Linked DNA regions of Caenorhabditis elegans. The protein of the gene in region 2 purifies or fractionates together with the protein of the main gene of each other region. This does not show direct contact. Each region holds a gene or a part of one and is shown on either strand. Other genes may lie near its edges. The genes, in order: etfb-1, C39B5.5, elac-2 and R160.10.

Region 1 (4,354 bases), on a different chromosome or scaffold from region 2:
ATTCTCAGAATGTGTGAGTTTCCGTAATACTATAAAGTGCAATTGCGCTCCACGGACAAATCTCCACCCCAAACCGTTGGGTCTCGTTAGGAATTGGCGGGAAAACCGTTTTTGCCAATTTTCCAGCATTTTTCGCTGTTTTCAATGAGTTTTTTTTTGTCAAAATTGAAAAAGTTAATGTCATAATCATTTTTAACCATAATTTCGGCATAAAAACATAAAAAATAACGAAAAATGCTTGAAAACGGGTAAAATCGTCGGAAGTAATCGTTATTTCGACCTAAAACTTATAAAAAATATGAAAAAAAGCTTAAAAATTGGCAAGAATAATGTAAAACATTTGAATTTCCCGTCTTGCCGCCAAATATTTACCTAACGAGACCCATCGTTTAGGGGCGGGGCGCGTAATTTTTCGCGCCCAGATAATAATCCGTAATATTTCCAGATCTACCTACACCAATTCTCCCATGGTTTTGTGAACAATGCATTCCGTTTTTTGATCGTTTCCCGTTCAAGCTATTCACTTTTATGAACAAAAATAATTTTTCATACTTTTTTAAACCTGCATCACATAAAACATTGAATAGAAAAAATAATAAAAATAATTTAAATACAAAATTTTCTGATTCGACTACTACAATAATTCAGCGGCGGAAGAGGTTATCGGGGGCTTAAGCCTTGACGAATCCCTTCTCCTTGAGCTTGGCGACAAGTGCCGAGACATCGTCGACGAATCCTCCGGCCTGGCGAACTGGTGGCTCGGTGACTTCAAGAGTTTCAGTTTGTGGTGTGATATCTACATTCAGATCTTTGATTGGAATGTTCTTCAGTGGCTTCTTCTTGGCCTTCATGATGTTTGGAAGAGTCGCGTAGCGGGGCTCGTTGAGGCGAAGATCGGCGGATAGGACGAATGGCACTTTGACCTGGAAAATAGAAAATTTTTCGAATAAAACTTTAGATCCGTGAATTTTGCAAACAAAATAGCGGCGCGCAGAAATAGGGGCGGGGCGTTATTTTGCAACCTTGCGGCACGGTTTTTCCTCCTTTTTTCGCTTTTTCAATTTTTCATGTTTTAATCTCCTTTTTTTTCGAATAAGAACGTTATTTAATTAACTATCAAAATTTATTAATCGATCCTTGAATTTTGCAAGAAATTTTGTCGCCCAGAAAGTGGGGCGGGGCATAGCTTTTGCAACACTGCCGCACGGGGTTTGCCTCCGCCCCTTTTCTACTGCTTTTAAGCTTTTCTTGTTGATTTTTTCAATAATTTCTTTTTTTTTCGAATGAAAATCCAATTCGAAAAAAAAGAGAAAAATCGAAACTTTATTGAAAAAATCAACAAAAAAAGCAGTGGAAAAGGGGCGGAGACAAACCCCGTGCGGCAGTGTTGCGTAAGCTACGCTCCGCCCCACTTTCTGTGCGACAAATTTTTGCAAAATTTAAGGATCGATTAATAAATTTTGATTTTAAATTAAATAACGTTCTCATTCGAAAAAAGAGATTAAAACATGAAAAATTGAAAAAATCAAACAAAAAACAAGCGGAAAAAGGAAAAACCGTGCCGCAGGGTTGCAATATCAAGCCCCGTCTCGCGTTCTGTGCGGGGCTGCTTTTCACGGCTATCGATCGATATAGTAAGAATCACCTTAATCGTGTCAAGACCTCCATCAATTTCACGGGTGACCTTCATGTGTCCAGCGCCTGCGTCTTCAACCTTCGACGCGTAGAGAGCCTGTGGCCACTCGAGCAGGCCAGCGAGAATCGGAGCAGTTTGCGACGAATCATCATCGATTGCCTGCTTTCCGAGAAAAACCGCGTCGAACTTCTCCTGCTCGACAATCTTCTGAAGCGCCTTCGCCACGTGGAATGACTCGAGCTTGCCAGCTTCGGCGTCGGTCACCTGAACGTGAACTGCCTTGTCGGCGCCCTTCGCCAACGCGGTCCGGAGCACTTCGGCGGATTTTGGTCCGCCGAGCGAGAACGCGACGACTTCGGTGGCGAGCTTCTTCTCCTTGAGCTTGACGGCCTCCTCTAAAGCGATCTCGTCGAATGGATTCATGCTGTGTTGAACTCCTTCGGTGACGACTCCCGAGCGGTCCGGCTTGACACGGATCTGGAAATTTTGGGCTTTTATAGAATCGAAATGTGTCTAAAATCTCCAATTTATCCAAGTTTTCCGTGTCACAGCGGTTGGAAATCAGCTTTTATTGCCAATTTTAATCGATTTTCCGTTGATTGGGGTACACTTTGAGCCAAAAATGACAAAAAACTGATTTCCAACTGCTGCGACACGGAAAAGTTGGTGAAATTCAAGATTTTCGCCGAAATTAAGCTGTTTTTTCGAATTTTTTGCTCTTTTTCCTGAAATCCTACCTTGACAGCATAGTCGACAACTCTCTTGACTCCGACGAGAATCTTCATCGCTTGGCTGGAAGAAAAACTGGGAATAAATTTATTTATTTATTAATAAATGAAGAAATGATCGAAAAAAACAGCGGCGGCGGGGTCAAAGTACACACTTCAGAGTTCAGAATTTGATTTTTAAATTTGAATCAATTAATTAAAGCCGAAATTCGAAATTTTAGCCGAAAAATGTTTAAAATAGCTTTAAAACTGCCACGTTTTTCCTTAAAAACCTTCGAAAATTCCGTTTTTTATAGAAAATTCGTGAAAAATAAGAATAAAAATAATAAAACAAGTGATGAGAGAGATAAGACGATGTGGAGAGAGAGTGTGGGAAGACGAGAGACGCAGAGAATGAAACGCGGGCGGTGATTGTTGTGGCCTACACGTAAGCGACCGATTTGTAGAAAAAATGTTCTGAAAAATAAAAGAATAAATATTTCGAAGAAGACATGAGCTGAACTTCGTAGATCTAGATAGATTAGATAAAACAAAAAAAAAGCAGAAAAATTGTTGCTTCATTATTGAGAGAAATGTTGTATATACAAGAAAAAAAGCAGTATCTTAATTTTAAAAATGAAACCGTCAGCAGAATATTCATATTCACAGAAATTTCTTGAGAAATCTGGAAGATCACATGTTGCGAAGAGCAGCCAGGCGTTCTGTGAGGTCCTTGTCTTCTGAAACAGCTTGCGTCCCGGTCGGCAGAGCAGTTGGCACGTTTGACGGAAGCTCCTGGTTGAGCTCGATGCCTGCCTTGTCGGCGGCCTCTGCAATCAGAGCATCCACCTGTGACTTCGGAGCATTCAACACTGTCGTTCCGTCCATCGTCTTTTCCATCGTCTTTGTGGTCACGTCGAGATCTTCGAAATCTCTTTCGAATCTATCCATCAACTGTTGAACTTTCTCGAGATTCATGCTCTTCATGGCGCTTTCCATGGCTTTCACTACGCCGCTCATGCTGGCGGTTACTCGTTTTTGTGTGGCGGCGGTTTGAACTCGGGCGGCCACTGCGTCGATTCTGGCGGCCATTTTAATGTAGTTCACTGCTTCATTCTTCTTCCTGATCGCATTTTCAGCATGAACCTGTGCGACTTCTTTGTTTCCTTTCTGGAAAAAATCGAATTTAAAAAATAATTGTTTTTTTTTTCATTTTTAATTATTTTTTACCTTAATAGCTGCCGTCAGCTTGTCTTTCTCGACCTTTTCATCCTTCTCGCATCGTTGAGCATTCTTTTCCAACTGTTTCGCTGCGAATTTAAGATCAAATAAGTGTTCTGGAAGATAAAAACATGAAAATAAGTCAAAATCAAGAGAAATCAATTTGAAACTCACTTTCCAAGGCCATACTGCTTTCTCCGGCTCCCATGATGATTTTATGTGTATTAAGCTGGTATTTGAGTTTCTGAAATACGAGAATTACGGTGAGAAAGTGCTTTTATAAGTTAAATTTCGCAAGAAAGCGATAAAAACAAATTCATGAGTCATGTGTGTGTATCTGCGGACTTTACGTCATAAACGACGACACTTGATGTCCGCAAGCAGCGGATCTTACGACAATTTTGGGTTGTAGAAATTTCTGTATTTTAAGTCGGTTTCAGGCTATAAAACACAAAATTATCAACGTCAAAAATATTTCCAGATCCGCTATATGAATTTGAAAAAATTAACATCGTAATTTCACCGATAGATAAAATCGCACAAAAATAAACTACCATAAACTTTTTTGCGTGCCAAGACCAATCTGAATAAATCTGTGCGCCTTTCTTTGAAAATTACTGTAATTATCGACTTTTCGTAGTTTTTTTGTAAAAAAAATTGAATTTATTCATCAATAAACTAACAAAAAACAGTATATGTTTTAACAAATCAAAAGAAATAAAAAAATTGAAGAAAATACCGCAATTTTTAAATTACAGTACTCTTTAAAGGCGCACACCTTCACGCATTT
Region 2 (5,582 bases):
GAAAAAATTCCAAAAAAATAAATTTTTTTTTCCGAATTTTTTTCTGCACAATTTGTAATAAAAAATGCCAGAAAACCCCTCAAAACATGAATTTTCACCGAAATTTGAATTTTTCATTTTTACAAGGGTTACTATAGCCTCAAAAGTACGCAAACACCAAGAATCTGAAAATTGCGTCAATGGGGTAAAAAGTGCCGGGAAACTCGATTTTTATACCGCAAAATCCAAAAAAATCCCCCCAACCCCGATTTTTCAGCGAATTCTTCGCCCGTCAATTCACCACCCTTCTCAAATTCTCATCAGAGCACCGTCTAACTCGCCTGCGTCTCCTCGATCTTCTACGTCACTATGCGACTGATGATGACGTCATGGCCGGCGAGCTGGAAATTTTAATCGAAGAAAATCGATATTGGAGAATACGGGCGCCGGCGGAAATCGACGAAATCGTGCGAAAATCGATGGAAAAACAGGAAAAATTGGTGGAAAAATGCCGAAGTGGACACGTGAAAAGCTTTAATCGATTGAGAAATTCGATTATTGATTCTTCGAATAAATGCATTGAATTGGAGGATTTAGAAGCATCGATTAGAAGATTATTATAAAGAAAATCGATAATTTTTTGTATTTAAATTGCTAAAAATCAATAAAATCCTAAAAATTTGATTTTTTTGTGACGTCACACAACTTTTTTAATTTTTTTGAAAACATTTTTGGCGATAATTTCAAATTTTCTTCGAATAAATTTTTGGCGGGAAACTCGAAACAGGAAACTCGACGCAGAGTTCTCATGGTTAAGAACGTGCTGACGTCACATGTTTTGGCGGAAAAAATTCCCGCATTTTTGGTAGATCAAACCGTAATGGGACAGCCTCCTGGCACCACGTGCTTTAAAAGTTTTTTGGCGGGAAATTCAAATTTTTTGAGAAAAAATTTCTGCGGAAGTTTTCAGTGTGAAACAAAACAACTTTTTTGCGAAAAAAAAATTGCGAAAAAAATTTTTTTTTTTCGAAAACTTTTTATTCCATTTTTTTTCGATTTTCCACTAAAAACCCCTTGAAAACATTTAAAAATTCGACTTTTCCGCAGTTTTTCAGCCCTAAATCATCGTTTCCAGTCAATTCCCGGTCACTCGGTGTTTGCGTACTTTTGAGGCTACAGTAACCCTGGAATTTTCAAAAATTTTGGGGTTTTTACCAATTTTTGTGCTGTAAAAGAAGGTTTAGGGTGTGGAATTAGTGGGGAAATTCGAATTTTACAATGAAAAACGTCTTCGGGTTACTGTAGCTCGGAAAGTACGCAAACACTTTGCCTACACCGAATTTGACGACAAATTGCAGAATTGTTTGGAAAATAGCTAGAAAATTTTTAAAAATGAAAAAAAAAAGTAAATTTGGGGTAAAAAATGCCGGGAAACTCGAATTTTCCATCAATTTTTTCAAATTTCCAACCTTTGCGGCGGATAATCGGCTTTTGATCTTTGCATAACAGTTTTCAGCTCTTTCATCCAATACAGTATGTCGACTGGGGTTACTGTAGGTGCCTTGTATCGTATACAACGTTTTACGAAGCTCAGCAGCTCGGGTTCTTTCTGAAAAATTGGATTTTTTATTGATTTTTAGCGGAAAATTCAAAATTAGTAGAATTTTATCAATTTTTCGGTGGAAAATCGGATTTTTATCGATTTTTCAGCGGAAAAACTCTCCTGAAATTTTTTTTCATACTTCTTTAGACCAAAATCCACTTTTTTTTGCAAAAATTGCATCCAACAAACTGTTTTCTCGATGATTTTGATGGGGAAAAGGACTCTTGAAAAAACAAAAGTGTAACATTTTCTCTCTCTCCGTCAATTTTTACACACTTTTCGGACGCCAAAAAAGTACATAAAGACGATGGAATCCCCCCCTTAAACTAATTAAAAATTTTCCGTTTTTTTTTTTTGGGGTTCTTTGTGTCCATTTTTTTGCTGCTGCAACAGACGTGTGTGTGTGTCAATCAAAAATTTGAGGACCGCTAGATAGGCTATCTAGAAAATAAAAAAAATATTTATCTATTCAAAAAATCTCCTATGGTATAAAAGTGACGATTTTCAGCTAATTAAACTATTTCAAAATGTCCCTGAATCCTTGGATTATTACATTATTCACTACTTGCTTCTGGGTAGATGTTGGATCACAGATAAGTGTGGACATCCCGCCGCTTAGAGCCTCTGAACTAATTATTCCGGTTTCTAATCGATTTGTGAGTTTATATATATATATATATATTTTTTTTTTCCTCAATTCTCTTGAAATTTCAAATAAGTACGATTTTTGAACTCAGCTCTCCGAGAGCTTTCAAATGACCCCCATATTGCATATGTTACGGCCACTTTGAACATTTCGGTACCCCGACACAGCTGAAACTCTTGCTACAGTACCCATCGTGGCGGGACCCAAATTTTCAAAATGCGTGGAACCTAGTCATGATGGGGGTCATTTGAAAGCTCCGAACAAGCTGAATTTGAATTTATTACTCAAAAATTTATTAAATCAAATTCTATGCTTAAAAATTTCAACTCAACTTTTATCTTTTTTTCAATTCTACTTAAAACTTCAAATAAGTACGATTTTTGAGCTCAGCTCATTGAGACCTTTCAAATGACCCCCATATTGCCTAGGTTCCGGCCACTTTGAAAATTTCGTTACCCCGACACAGCTGAAACTCTTGCTACAGTACCCATCGTGGCGGGACCCAAATTTTCAAAATGCGTGGAACCTAGTCATGATGGGGGTCATTTGAAAGCTCCGAACAAGCTGAATTTGAATTTATTACTCAAAAATTTATTAAATCAAATTCTATGCTTAAAAATTTCAACTCAACTTTTATCTTTTTTTCAATTCTACTTAAAACTTCAAATAAATACGATTTTTGAGCTCAGCTCATTGAGACCTTTCAAATGACCCCCATATTGCCTAGGTTCCGGCCACTTTGAAAATTTCGGAACCCCGACACAGCTGAAGTTGAAGCTACAGTACCCATCGTGGCGGGACCCAAATTTTCAAAATTCGCGGGACCTAGTCATGATGGGGGTTATTTTGAAGCTAATAACATAAGAACAGTAAATTTTCTCATGAAAATTTATTTTTCGAAAAATCTGCAAAAAAATGTTTTGGGTCTCGCAACGAAAACTTAAAATTTTTAAAATTCTGCTAAATCGAAAATTCAACAAAATTTTCGAGTTAAGCTCGTTGAGACCTTTCAAATGACCCCCATATTGCCTAGGTTCCGGCCACTTTGAAAATTTCGTTACCCCGACACAGCTGAAACTCTTGCTACAGTACCCATCGTGGCGGGACCCAAATTTTCAAAATGCGTGGAACCTAGTCATGATGGAGGTCATTTGAAAACTCTAGACTAGCTGAATTCGAATTTATTACTCAAAAATTTATTAAATCAAATTCTATGCTTAAAAACTTCAACTCAACTTTTATCTTTTTTTCAATTCTACTTAAAACTTCAAATAAGTACGATTTTTGAGCTCAGCTCTTCAAGAGCTTTCAAATGACCCCCATATTGCCTAGGTTCCGGCCACTTTGAAAATTTCGGTACCCCGACACAGCTGAAACTCTTGCTACAGTACCCATCGTGGCGGGACCCGAAAATTAAAAAATAGCCGGAACCTAGTCATGAAGGGGGTCATTTGAAAGCTCCGAACAAGCTGAATTTGAATTTATTACTCAAAAATCCAGAAAATCAAATTTTACCTTAAAAATTAGCAATTCTAAATTTTAATTTGTAATTTTTTTCCAGCAACTAATCAGAAGTGCTCCAGTGACAACTCGATCGATAAGCCCATTTCAAGTGATGCAGAAGCTTGCTGACGTTCCAGATGATGGGGAGACATTCAGAGAGGGCCCACTGGATATTAATGGGAGATTGACTGCGGTAAAACTGAAATTTTGAGAAAAATGGTAGTTTAAAGTCAACATTACAATCATTTTTGAATTTATCGTGTTTTTAGCTTTCAAATGAGCCCCATATTGCCTAGGTTCCGAGCATTTTGAAAACTCCGGGTTACGGTAGCTCCAACTTCAGCTGTGTCGCGGCGAGACCCAAAACTTTTTAGACTTAACGTAATCTAGTCATGATTATACTTATTTGAAAGCTTTTTTCATGCTGATTTCATATTTTTGGGTCTCGACGCGAAATCGTCAAAATTAAAAAAAAATTCCAGCGCCTCGTCTGGAAATCCTTTGAAGCCGACATAAACCAACGAATTGAAGGCGAATGGATGTGGGTTCCGCTGAAAGTACTGTCAGCTTACGGTCAAATAGTGTCCGGAATGCAATATGATCTAAAAGTTCTGGCGGGAACTTCAAATTGCTCGAGATATCAGGTCAATGCCTACACGATTCAGGAGCAGAATTGTGTGCATTTTAACGGGCCGAAACGGGCGGTAAGTGGGGATAAATTGATGAAAAATTCGGAAATGAAATTAGAATATTAACATTTAAAAAAATTTCTGAAAGTTATTTTTTATTTCGAAAAATTTCAAAATTTTTTTTTTTTCAAAATTAAAAAAAAAACCTTTAAAAGTCTTTTTCCTTCAAAAATCCTTGCGAAAAATTAAATTCTACGCCATTTTCCACATATAAATCCTTTTTTTCTTGAATTTCCACTCAAATTTTGAATTATCGATTTTCGCGGGGGGTACTGTACCTTCAAAAGTACGCAAACACCGATGACGCGATACTTGGCTAAAAATTGAAATTTCGGCATTAAAAACGCGCAAAATTCAAACTTCATAACTATAGAACACCTGAAATTCACTGGCTTTAATTTTGAAAATTTTGGAAAAAAATTTTCAAAAAAAAAATTTTTTTTTTTTTGAAAAATTTTTTAACTCAAAAATTTTCGATTTTTTTTGCAGATTTTCAACATTTTGGTGATGGAACGGAGCTCAAAAAGTTGGTCCCCATTTATTCCAGACTGGGAGAGAGTTTTTTCGACAGTTGACAGAGAAATCGGAGATAATGAAGACATTTGATTTTTTAAATTTTTTTTTCGTTGAATTTTTGTGATAATAAAATGAGATTTATTAATTTTCCACAATTATTATATTAAATTCTATCATTTTTGCTTATTTTTAACTCAAAAATTTGAATTTAAACGGACATCGTGGAGCAACTGCGCTCTAATGCGAAAAAAAGCGGAAATTAGCAATGGAGCGCGTTTACTGACGGGAATTTTAAATATTTTAATTTTTATAATCAAATTTCTAGTTTAGCACTGATAACGTGCTCGCCATGTGCTCTTTTCCCAAAAAAATCCTATAAAAATCGCAGTTTTTGTCTTCTTATCACATTTTTTTCATTTCTTTCATTGCGGTGAATTTTTCTAAATGAAATTTCTAGTTTACTCTCTATTACTTTTTCATTTCTCTAGTTTTGTGGAATCCAGTAAATGTACGGATTGTATTGCATCTGGAAAGCAGTAAGTTTTTGCTTCGAGACCCAGTTTTGAGCAAAGCTAAAAATATGACATTAAAACTAGAATTTTTGAATTCACCGTGATTTCAGCTTCAAAATGACACCCATATTGAC
Region 3 (7,320 bases), on a different chromosome or scaffold from region 2:
GTTACTTGGGAAGAAGTATTTATTATTTAATTAGCTATTTAATTTATATATTTTTTTAATTTCAGCTATCACCTTCCACAATATCCTGCCGTTTACCTGTGTCCTCGTTACTTCAAATCTACTATTCCAAGCAAGGATCTACAAAAAACTATCGAGAGGTTATAATTGCAGGAAACTCACAGCTACTTTTAGATGATGTATGACCTTCTTATTTAATGTATACAAAATTAGTTTTTTATTCAGGTTCCGTATCTTTCTGGCCAAGAAATTCGTATGCCAATCTCAATTTCATTCACAGAAGTCACACCACCTCCGAAGAACATATTTTCAGCTTTACCTTACGTTGATATTCGACTACCTCACGACTTCTTCTATCCATTTATGAGCACTTCAAACTACTCTGCTAGCTTAAACTATTCACAATGTATTTTTATCATTTTTATAATCTATATTCTTAAATAAAAACTGTTTTTAAAGTATTTATCCTTGTTAATTTTTATTAAATCTAGTCACAAACTAAAGAAAATATTTATTTTATTTAACTTTAATGTTTAAGATTTAAACTTTTAAGATAAAAGTTAATGATTCAAAGAAATAAATAAAAATAAAAACGATAGAAAAAACGAAAGTCAAGAAGGACGCAAGCAATTCTTTGCTGACGCATGTCTCGTGAAATTTGCGTGATGGCGCACTTCTCGTGCACTTTTCTCGAGCTTTCAGATTCATTTTTCAACTCAATTCTTTACAAAAAACTGCACTTTTACCGCTTTAAAATCAATAAATTTAATCAATTTCTGTTTTCAGGGAATAAATACACACAAAAATGGAAGAGTACACCAGAGAGCCATGGTAAGATTTCCTAAAATTGGTTTTTTTACTGAAAATAATTTTTTCCAGCCCATATCGTATCGGAGATGATATTGGATCGGCGTTTGCGATGGGTCTCGTTGGAGGATCCATTTTCCAAGCTTTTGGAGGATATAAAAATGCGGCGAAAGGAAAGAAATTGGTGATTAATTTTTTAAAGACAAAAATACTTAATTAATTGATTAATTTAGGTTGGGATGATGCGAGAAGTACGAATGAGAAGCACATTAACAGGAGTTCAGTTTGCCGCTTGGGGAGGAATGTTCAGTACAATCGATTGTTGTCTTGTCGCCATCCGCAAGAAGGAAGACCCCATCAACTCTATTGTTTCTGGAGGATTGACTGGAGCTCTTTTGGCGATCCGTTCAGGACCAAAGGTAGCAGAATAGCTTTAATTTAGTGAATTAATAATAATTTAATAATTTTTGTTTAGGTGATGGCAGGAAGTGCGATTCTTGGCTCTGTAATTCTGGCTATGATCGAAGGAGTCGGATTGGTGACCACCCGCTGGATGGGAGCAATGATGGATCCAACACAGCCGCCGGTATGTTTTGTTTTCTGGCTCAAAACTTATTTATTTATTTATTCACTATTTTTGCAGCCAGAAGCTCTCGACGATCCACGCAGTCTGGGACAAAAGAGTCAAGCAGAACCAGGACTCGACCAAACGAGACCCTTCGGAATTCCAACTGGATTACCAAATCTGTCCTAAATCTTTTTTCACTCATATCCGTTTTTCTTTATGCTTTTGTCTCTTATCTCAATTTTCCCCCCTCCAACTTCGGTGATCGGCCGATTCCTCTACATTTTTTAGGAGCTCCAATTTTATTAGTTACATATTACATTAGTGTTGTTTGTTTTGTTGATGATGTTCATTGCGATCACGAATCTTATTTAGATTCGCGCTTTCCTTCCAAAAATCAAGTTTCAGATCCGTATGGGTGCACGGCATCTCCATCTCTCCCCTGTTTTTTCGAATTTCTTTCCCCTTTAATTTCTTTTTAATAATCTTCACTGTTCCCTATTTCTTTTTCCGATGAAGACGTTGTTTATAATATCATGATGATTCAATCGTGTTTAAAGTAAAATTAAATCTTGAAATTATACATTAACTTCCAGCTCTTTAGCACAATAGAGTGCATGAAATTCAAATAAATTTCAGCTGAAAGCTCGAAGCTGATGCTCGGAGCGATTGCGAGGAAAACTGTAGAGAATCGGATTCTGTAAGGGTTTGTGAGTGGTCCCCCCAATTGAAATAGACGAGAAAATTTGCGATTTTAGGCAAAAATTCTGAAATTTCATTATTTTTTACCCGAAAACCTTGAAATTCGAGATTTCTCGTTTAAAAAACGCGAAATTTTTATACAGAAACTCCAGGTTTTGAGAAAAAACGGGAATTTTTCTACATTTTGCCTGAAAATATCGATATTTGATTTTTAAACAATGAATTTCACGGTGTTTTTTGCTAGAAATGCATTTTAAAAATTTGAAAACATGAAAATGTTGTTTTTTGGCATAAAGTGTATAAAAATATCGGAAATTTTGCGGAAAATTGCATGAAATGTTTTTATGCTAAAAATACGGTATATGGTCTCGACGCGAGAAAGTTTTGCAAACTGCAAAGAGGCGTGCGCCTTTAAAGAGTACTGTAATTTTAAACTTTTGTTTTTGCGGATATTTCATAGTTTTTCATCCCGTTTTCTTGAAATTGTATGTGTTTAAAAAATTATATATGTATCCCACAGTCTCGTCATCGAAAGCGCACAAAAAACAGCCTACTGGCGCGGATATATCCACGGCGAGACTTTGAAGCTACAGTACTCTTTAAAGGCGCACGCTTTTTCAAGTTTTGCAGCAAAAACTGTCGTGTCGAGACCTAGTTTGTTGGAGATTTGCAAAATTCCACACCTGGATAACAACAATTTTAATTTCTGCATGTTTTTCCGCTAGTACTTTCACATTTCGCAATTTTTCACAATCTCACTTTTCAGAGTTTCTCGTCACTTGATTTCTTCAACCAGCTGCTTATTTAAGGATAATAACGAAGAATTATTAGAAAGTATCAAGGAGAGAATTGCCAGAAATCGCCGAATTCTTCAGAAGCATTCGTCTTCACATTTGAAGTGAGTTTTATTGGGATTTTTTGTCTGAAAAGTACAGTACGGGGTCTCGGCACGACAATTTTGTTGAATGGCAAAATGCGTTAAAGAGACATTTTTCAAGATTTCACATATATGTTCGACCTCAAAACTTGAAATTTGACATGCTTCCGTCAATTTTTTCAAAATTTCAGTTGAAAAATACATAAACTGTATGAAAAAATTCGAATTTTTGATTTTTTTGACGCTATTTAATAAACTTTACCAATATTTCAGAGCTCGAGAAGTAAACGCAAGCATCTCAAATCTGCGACAATCAATGGCGGCAGTGCAGAAGAAACAAAAAGCGGCTCACGAACCACCGGCCAACTCAATTGTCAACATTCCCAGTCAAGTATCGATCGAAGTTCTCGGTAATGGAACAGGACTTCTCCGAGCATGCTTCATCCTTCGAACACCACTGAAAACCTACATGTTCAACTGCCCTGAGAATGCATGCAGATTCCTGTGGCAGCTTAGGATCCGAAGTTCAAGCGTCGTTGATCTTTTCATCACATCTGCAAATTGGGATAATATTGCTGGAATTTCATCAATTCTACTTTCTAAGGAATCAAATGCATTGTCTACTCGACTTCATGGTGCAATGAATATCAAACACTTTTTGGAATGTATTCGACCATTTCAAGATTCGGATTACGGTAGCTGCAAGTATCCATCTCAAGTTGAAGAACGTCCATATACAATGGAGAATTATGAGGATGCCGGATTAAAGGTCACATATATTCCTCTGAGTCCACCGTTGAATATCGGAAGTAACAACGAAAAAAGTAAAAATGTGAAAGTCAACAATGTAGACATTGCATTTTTAATCGAAATGAAGGAGGCAGCCAGACGAATCGATACGATGAAGTTGATGGAACTGAAAGTACCGAAAGGTCCACTAATTGGAAAACTGAAATCAGGAGAAGCAGTTACTCTTCCAGATGGAAGGACGATTCAACCTGATCAAGTTTTCTCATCGGATAAAGTTGAAGGAGACAAGCCACTGCTTTTAGTGACAGAATGTACTACAGAGGATCATGTGAAAGCACTGATAGACTCATCATCACTGCAACCATTTTTGAATGGGGAAAAACAGTTGGATTATGTAAGATTGAAAAAAGAATTATTGACATTAAAAAATACATTTTCAGATGGTTCATATCAGTGATGATGCAGTAATCAATACTCCAACCTACAGACATTTGATGGAGAAGCTCAACAATCCCAGTATCACTCATTTGCTGATCAATGGAGGGAATCCTGTGATTCCAGCTGTGGAAAGTGTCTATAAGTAAGGAAAATATGAAATATTGAATAGATCTACGAATTCGAGATCTGCGAAAACAAGATCCAGGGTCTCAAGAGCTGCAGTTGGCACGATTTCAGGACCTCTGTTTTCGCAGATCTTCTATTTGACGAGATCCCGTTTTCGTGTTCCCTCGCGGCATCAGAAAATTCAAAAAATTTCAGTTTTACAAAATCCATAGGTTTTAAGAATCCAAATTGTTATTTACAGACACACTCGCCTTCTTCGATCAATTGCTCCATCTCTCTTCCCAGCTCTTCACCCAATTGATTGGAGTGGAATTATAACTCAAAATGAGGAGCTATCACAACGACAGGATCAATTCATTCGAGTGGCTCCAATGCAACGATATTGGATGCGCCGAGGAGCTTCGTTCAACGAGGAGCCCATCGTCAACAATTTGCTAGCTGCTGAGCCAGAGCTGTCGGATAAAGCGAAGGAATTGATTAAGGAATATCAGAAGTTGGAGAAGGAGAATAAAATGGACTGCGAATTTCCGAAATTAACATTCTTCGGAACTTCGTCCGCGGTTCCATCAAAATATCGAAATGTGACAGGATATCTGGTGGAAGCATCAGAGAACAGTGCGATTTTAATTGATGTTGGAGAAGGAACATATGGACAAATGAGAGCAGTTTTTGGAGAAGATGGTTGTAAGCAGCTTCTGGTAAATCTCAACTGCGTCCTTATCACTCACGCTCATCAGGATCATATGAATGGGCTGTACACAATTATTGCACGGAGAAAAGAAGCTTTCGAGTCCCTCGGAGCCCCTTACCGTCCACTAGTCCTTGTATGCAATCGGAATGTTCTGAAACCAATGAAGACCTACTCAATTTGCTTTGAAAACATTGAGCATCTCCTCGAAATTGTTGATATCTCCAGGTATCCACTAACACCTCCCGGGAGCCCTGGAGGGCCTCCTGGAAAAAGACCGAGACTTCCGAGCCCACATCTCCCGCCGAGCAGAGATGTTCTACAGGATATGTCGAGCAGTTTCGATAAAAAGGCATGGAAGCTGGATGAGCTGAAGGCTGTACAAGTTCATCATACAAGAATGGCAAATGGATTTGTGATGAGAGTTGCTGGAAAACGAATTGTATTCTCTGGAGATACGAAACCATGTGATTTGTTGGTTGAAGAAGGAAAAGATGCTGATGTTCTTGTTCATGAATCCACTTTTGAAGATGGTCATGAGGTAGATATGACACCAAAACCCCCAAAAAAATTGGCTAAAATTTCGTCTTTGGTTTTATTACTAAATTGTACGAGATTTTTAGCCAAAATACGGTAGCTAGGGTCTCAACACGACAATTTTTGGATAAATGCAGAGATTGAAGATAACAGAATTTTCATCGAATTTTCATAGTTTTTCGTTGAGAAATATATAAACTTGTGAGAAAAATCGATGGAAATCTTGCAGAAACAAAAGTTTGAACCTACAGTATTCTTCAAAGGCGAATAACTTTTTGCATTCGGCAAAAATTTTGTCGTGTCGAGACCCTATATTACGTATTTTTAGTGCAATAATGAAAAATCCAACTATTAGAAACCCGCTTTTTCAGTTTTTTTTTTTAATTTGAATTCCATCCAAACTGAGAACTTCAAGACCAATCAGCGACTTGCTCCTCTCATTCCGCCTGATTGGTCGAAATATGGGCGGAGCTATTCGCTGATTTGTCATATTTCTCATTTGGCAGGCATTCAAACAGCGAATTTTTTCTGAGTTTCGGACTATTTTGGTTTTTTAAGGCAAATATTGAAATTTTTCAACCAATTAATTTCAGGCTGATGCAATGAGAAAACGTCATTCAACAATGGGTCAAGCAGTCGATGTTGGAAAACGAATGAATGCCAAGCACATTATTCTGACACATTTCAGTGCGAGATATCCAAAAGTACCAGTTCTTCCTGAATATCTTGATAAGGAAAATATTGGTGTGGCGATGGATATGTTGAGAGTTCGATTCGATCATTTACCACTTGTTTCGAAACTTCTTCCCATTTTTAGGTAGATTTCAGATTCAGTATTCAGGAGAAAATGGGCCATAATGACCGAATATAACTGTGCTCGAATTTTTTTTTGCAAAATTGAAACAATTTTCAAAAAATTCAGAAATATTTTATAATTTTATTAATTTTTAACAGTTATATTCGGTTCTTGTGGTCCATTTTCTGTCATTTAAAGCAAAATGTTGAAATAAATAAATTTATAAATTTACAGAGAAGTATTCGTGGCGGAACTATTCGAATTAACCATCAAAAAAGAACAACGGGTTTTGAAAGACAAGGAATTGTCTGAAAAGCGAGGTCAATTAAAGGCTTGAGTGACTGGCCACATTCAACATTAATTCACTTTTCATCCAGTTATTCACGTTTTTAGTTCATTGTTACTTTTGTTTTCATTTTCTTGTTTTGTTGTCAAGGTTTTTTTCTCGGAAAGTTTTGGAACAAAAAATTTTTGGTTCCAGCAATAAAAATTTATATGGTACTATTAAGCTTCTTTTTTTCAGAAGAACAATATGTGAAGTTACAATTACAAGTGTTCTATTGGGGACGCACAAAACTGATCTCTTTGAAATTGAGGCGCAATCGCGCTCCAAATAAAACGACTACCCCAACCGTTGGGTCTCGTTAGGTATTTAGCGGTAAAACCAAATATACAGGCGGTTTTCGACTTTTTTGAAAATTGTTTTAAATGATTATTTTGTTTAAAAAAAATGCATGTGATATTGAAAAAGGGAATTCTACTGCTTTTTAAATTTTATTATCAATTTTATGTTATCAGTTTTAACGATTGAAACCGTTCAGAAAAATGAAAGCGTTTGAATTCCTAGTTTACCCGCCAATACCTAACAAGTTGAAAGGCGGGACGTTTTCAATTGGCCGTGGATCACGGCGTTCGTGTTTAATAGGGGAATTTTTCGGCGTTTCCGTATTATGTGCGTCAAAACTTTTTTCCGCCCAAGAAGTGTAAATTTTCATAATCTTGATAAATTCAAGTGG
Region 4 (2,566 bases), on a different chromosome or scaffold from region 2:
TTGTCATTGTTAGCACTGCACAGATTAATTATTGATCTCCTTTTTTTGTTAATGAATGTTGATGTTACATATGTCAATTTCTGAACAATTTTTCATATCGATTTTGGTTGAAACCAATAAGTATACCTGTATATTTAATTAATTATCCTTCTTAACTTTTTGTTAGTTTCAATTACTATTTCGCAAACCTGCATGACTTGTTTCAACATGGACATCATCAAATGCATCTATCTCATCTTGCTCCTAATTTGGTCAATATTTTTGTAAGTGACGATGATCTGAAATTATTTTTAAATAGTTATGGAAATTATAGCATCATCCTATTCATAACTCTCATCAGAGAATGGTTCTTCCCACAGCCCCGTTTTTTCGAAAGATTTGAGGATGAAGAGGAGCCAAGTCGTCCACAAGGATTTGTATCTCTTGACGTGGAGCAACTGGAGCAAATGCATGGGCTGGAAGTATATGCTGCCAACAAAGTGATCATAGACACTGTTCCACTTCTTCCTATTTAAAGTAAGAAAAATGTTCGTAAATTTTTTCAAAATTTTATTACAGACGATCAACATGCACCATATGTATTCATAATTTGTAACAACGATAAAATTGAAATACAGTAGTATAGACTATTTCTTTTTAGTAGCTCTCGAATAACTTTTTTGTGGATAAATTTTAGCGTGCCCTTCCGTTTTGGTTAATATTTTGGTATTGTTAGGTTGCCAAACCATAACTATTATTTTGGTTTGATCAGAGGTGTGCGGTAATTGGTAAGTTGAGCAATTGCTGGTTTTTGAATTTGCTGCAGTGAGCAATTTTGGAACTGGCTGAAATTGCCCAAATTTCGGATTACTGGAATTCTTAAACTTTTCTTAAACCATATTTATGATTGTAAAATTTAACCTTGACGTAATTCATGTGTTAATTATTTCGTCAGACATTTTTTTTCTGTGTGAGGAGTAAAAATTCTGGTCTAAAATGCATACATGTACACGCTTTTATAAAACATTTCAATTCTCATTATCGGCGATTGAAAAATATATCGCACACATCTCATTTCAAGATTCAGATACCTCATTTTTATACAACTCAAACTTTACCATGGACGTCCAGAATTTAGTGACCATTGGATTTTTGATAGTTATCGGTTTGACTTCGGCGGTGGTCATGTAATTTCTTATTCCACTTTCAAAAAATAATTCAATTTTATCCAAAATTTTAGAATTTGGTACTTCATTGCCGAGGTGTTTCAAAACATGCATAAACACATTGCTCGAACCACAGTCATCCGAGTTGAAGCTACCATTTAGAGGTTGCTGTCATCTATTTTTTTCAAATTTTTTAATGGGAATTAATTTCAGAAATTGTACTGCTAATCATAGATGTTTCCTGATACACCCTACCGATTGCCCATTACTTTTTTACACCAATAAACGTATTTAAATTATTACCGATTTATCTTCTATTACTATATCCCACAAGGTTGTTAATCCTTGTCTCATATTTATAAGTTTCATTTTTTGTTCAACATTCCGAATTATTTGTCAGATGGAAACAGCTCAAACAATCAAATATCATGTTCCGCCGATGCTCATTTTTTTGGTTGTTGTCCTCTCGTGTCTCAGGTGAGAACAAAGTTTTCAGGAGTCTTTTAAAAAACAAAATGAACATTTTTGAATTTCCAGCATTGGTTTTTTGGTAGACTACATCATGCAAAAGTACGGTTGCTGTGGACGGAGAGGAAGTTGCTGCCGGCCAGAGCTGGAAGGAGATGAGGACGCTGAGAACGCTCAAGGGTCTATACCCCTAGCATCACTTGGAACAACTAACGACCCATTACCAGGAAGACTACCATTGCTGTCACGAGCTCCTATCAACAATTCACGCGTTTAAGTGTCTTATTGTATTATTTTCCCAATTGCTATAACCCGCATAATCATACCACACATTTCAATAAATTGTCATAATTATCATTGAAACCTAGAGAGAACATAAGTTTGTGTTTAATTTTTATATGTATAAAGTTATTACTGAATAAATTGGCAATTTCAAAATGATTCCATTTAGCCCCAATTTGCAATATATACGAAAATTAGATCAATAGGTTTTTGTCATGTGTCCCTTTTTTTCGTACTGTTGTGTAGTATCCAGTTATAGAATTATTTCCAGACATTACAAAAACATTCTCTATATATCAACAAACTCGAATTATTTTGTTTTAAAAGCGTCGCTGCTCAGAGAATTCAATGGCTCCGTATCACACTGAGCAGCGACTCATGCAAATTCAAATTGTAATTGTTTACTGAGTTTGAATCTATGCACTCATAGATTATTGGCTCGGCCAGTACATACTTGCAAGTCTCTCAATCAATTAAGAATAGAGGTTTATGTTTTTGATGTGTTTTTTACACAGTATTTGCTCTTCGCCTCCAATCCCCCTTGCCCTCTTCACCACTTTTTCATGTTCCCTTTCCAACATTTTTTTGTGCGCATATAGCATCTGCCAATTTTCTTCCATCTACTCAATCTGTGCATTGCCCCGTGATGAGCAGCGAGTGACGAATATCTG

The links.
Region 1: the proteins of C39B5.5 (region 2) and etfb-1 fractionate together in Caenorhabditis elegans (co-fractionation; one large-scale study listed by BioGRID). This does not show direct contact.
Region 3: the proteins of C39B5.5 (region 2) and elac-2 fractionate together in Caenorhabditis elegans (co-fractionation; one large-scale study listed by BioGRID). This does not show direct contact.
Region 4: the proteins of C39B5.5 (region 2) and R160.10 fractionate together in Caenorhabditis elegans (co-fractionation; one large-scale study listed by BioGRID). This does not show direct contact.

What each region holds. Positions count from the first base shown.
Region 1 is NC_003279.8:2,417,926-2,422,279, forward strand, and holds etfb-1 (Electron transfer flavoprotein subunit beta), read right to left. Parts: upstream 2,429-4,354; 5' UTR 2,422-2,428; coding exon 2,374-2,421; intron 2,114-2,373; coding exon 1,646-2,113; intron 924-1,645; coding exon 672-923; 3' UTR 536-671; downstream 1-535. Other genes in the region: F23C8.13 (PDZ domain-containing protein), read left to right, coding at 446-532; did-2 (Charged multivesicular body protein 1b), read right to left, coding at 3,037-3,513, 3,574-3,680, 3,739-3,772.
Region 2 is NC_003281.10:2,206,161-2,211,742, forward strand, and holds C39B5.5 (Cystatin domain-containing protein), read left to right. Parts: upstream 1-2,003; 5' UTR 2,004-2,109; coding exon 2,110-2,238; intron 2,239-3,789; coding exon 3,790-3,924; intron 3,925-4,213; coding exon 4,214-4,435; intron 4,436-4,909; coding exon 4,910-5,026; 3' UTR 5,027-5,082; downstream 5,083-5,582. Other genes in the region: C39B5.6 (Glutamyl-tRNA(Gln) amidotransferase subunit B, mitochondrial), read left to right, coding at 257-602; C39B5.14 (Fungal lipase-type domain-containing protein), read left to right, coding at 5,381-5,472.
Region 3 is NC_003282.8:4,738,977-4,746,296, reverse strand, and holds elac-2 (Zinc phosphodiesterase ELAC protein 2 homolog), read left to right. Parts: upstream 1-2,029; 5' UTR 2,030-2,046; coding exon 2,047-2,090; intron 2,091-2,858; coding exon 2,859-2,990; intron 2,991-3,242; coding exon 3,243-4,113; intron 4,114-4,159; coding exon 4,160-4,299; intron 4,300-4,524; coding exon 4,525-5,512; intron 5,513-6,101; coding exon 6,102-6,325; intron 6,326-6,538; coding exon 6,539-6,641; 3' UTR 6,642-6,807; downstream 6,808-7,320. Other genes in the region: tctn-1 (Tectonic domain-containing protein), read left to right, coding at 1-15, 66-197, 244-462; timm-17B.1 (putative mitochondrial import inner membrane translocase subunit tim-17B.1), read left to right, coding at 824-849, 898-1,009, 1,059-1,244, 1,301-1,411, 1,469-1,579. UniProt on the Caenorhabditis elegans protein: Zinc phosphodiesterase, which displays some tRNA 3'-processing endonuclease activity. Probably involved in tRNA maturation, by removing a 3'-trailer from precursor tRNA. Involved in germline proliferation.
Region 4 is NC_003284.9:4,366,492-4,369,057, reverse strand, and holds R160.10 (uncharacterized protein), read left to right. Parts: upstream 1-1,543; 5' UTR 1,544-1,545; coding exon 1,546-1,622; intron 1,623-1,682; coding exon 1,683-1,890; 3' UTR 1,891-2,032; downstream 2,033-2,566. Other genes in the region: R160.4 (DUF4845 domain-containing protein), read left to right, coding at 208-263, 314-515.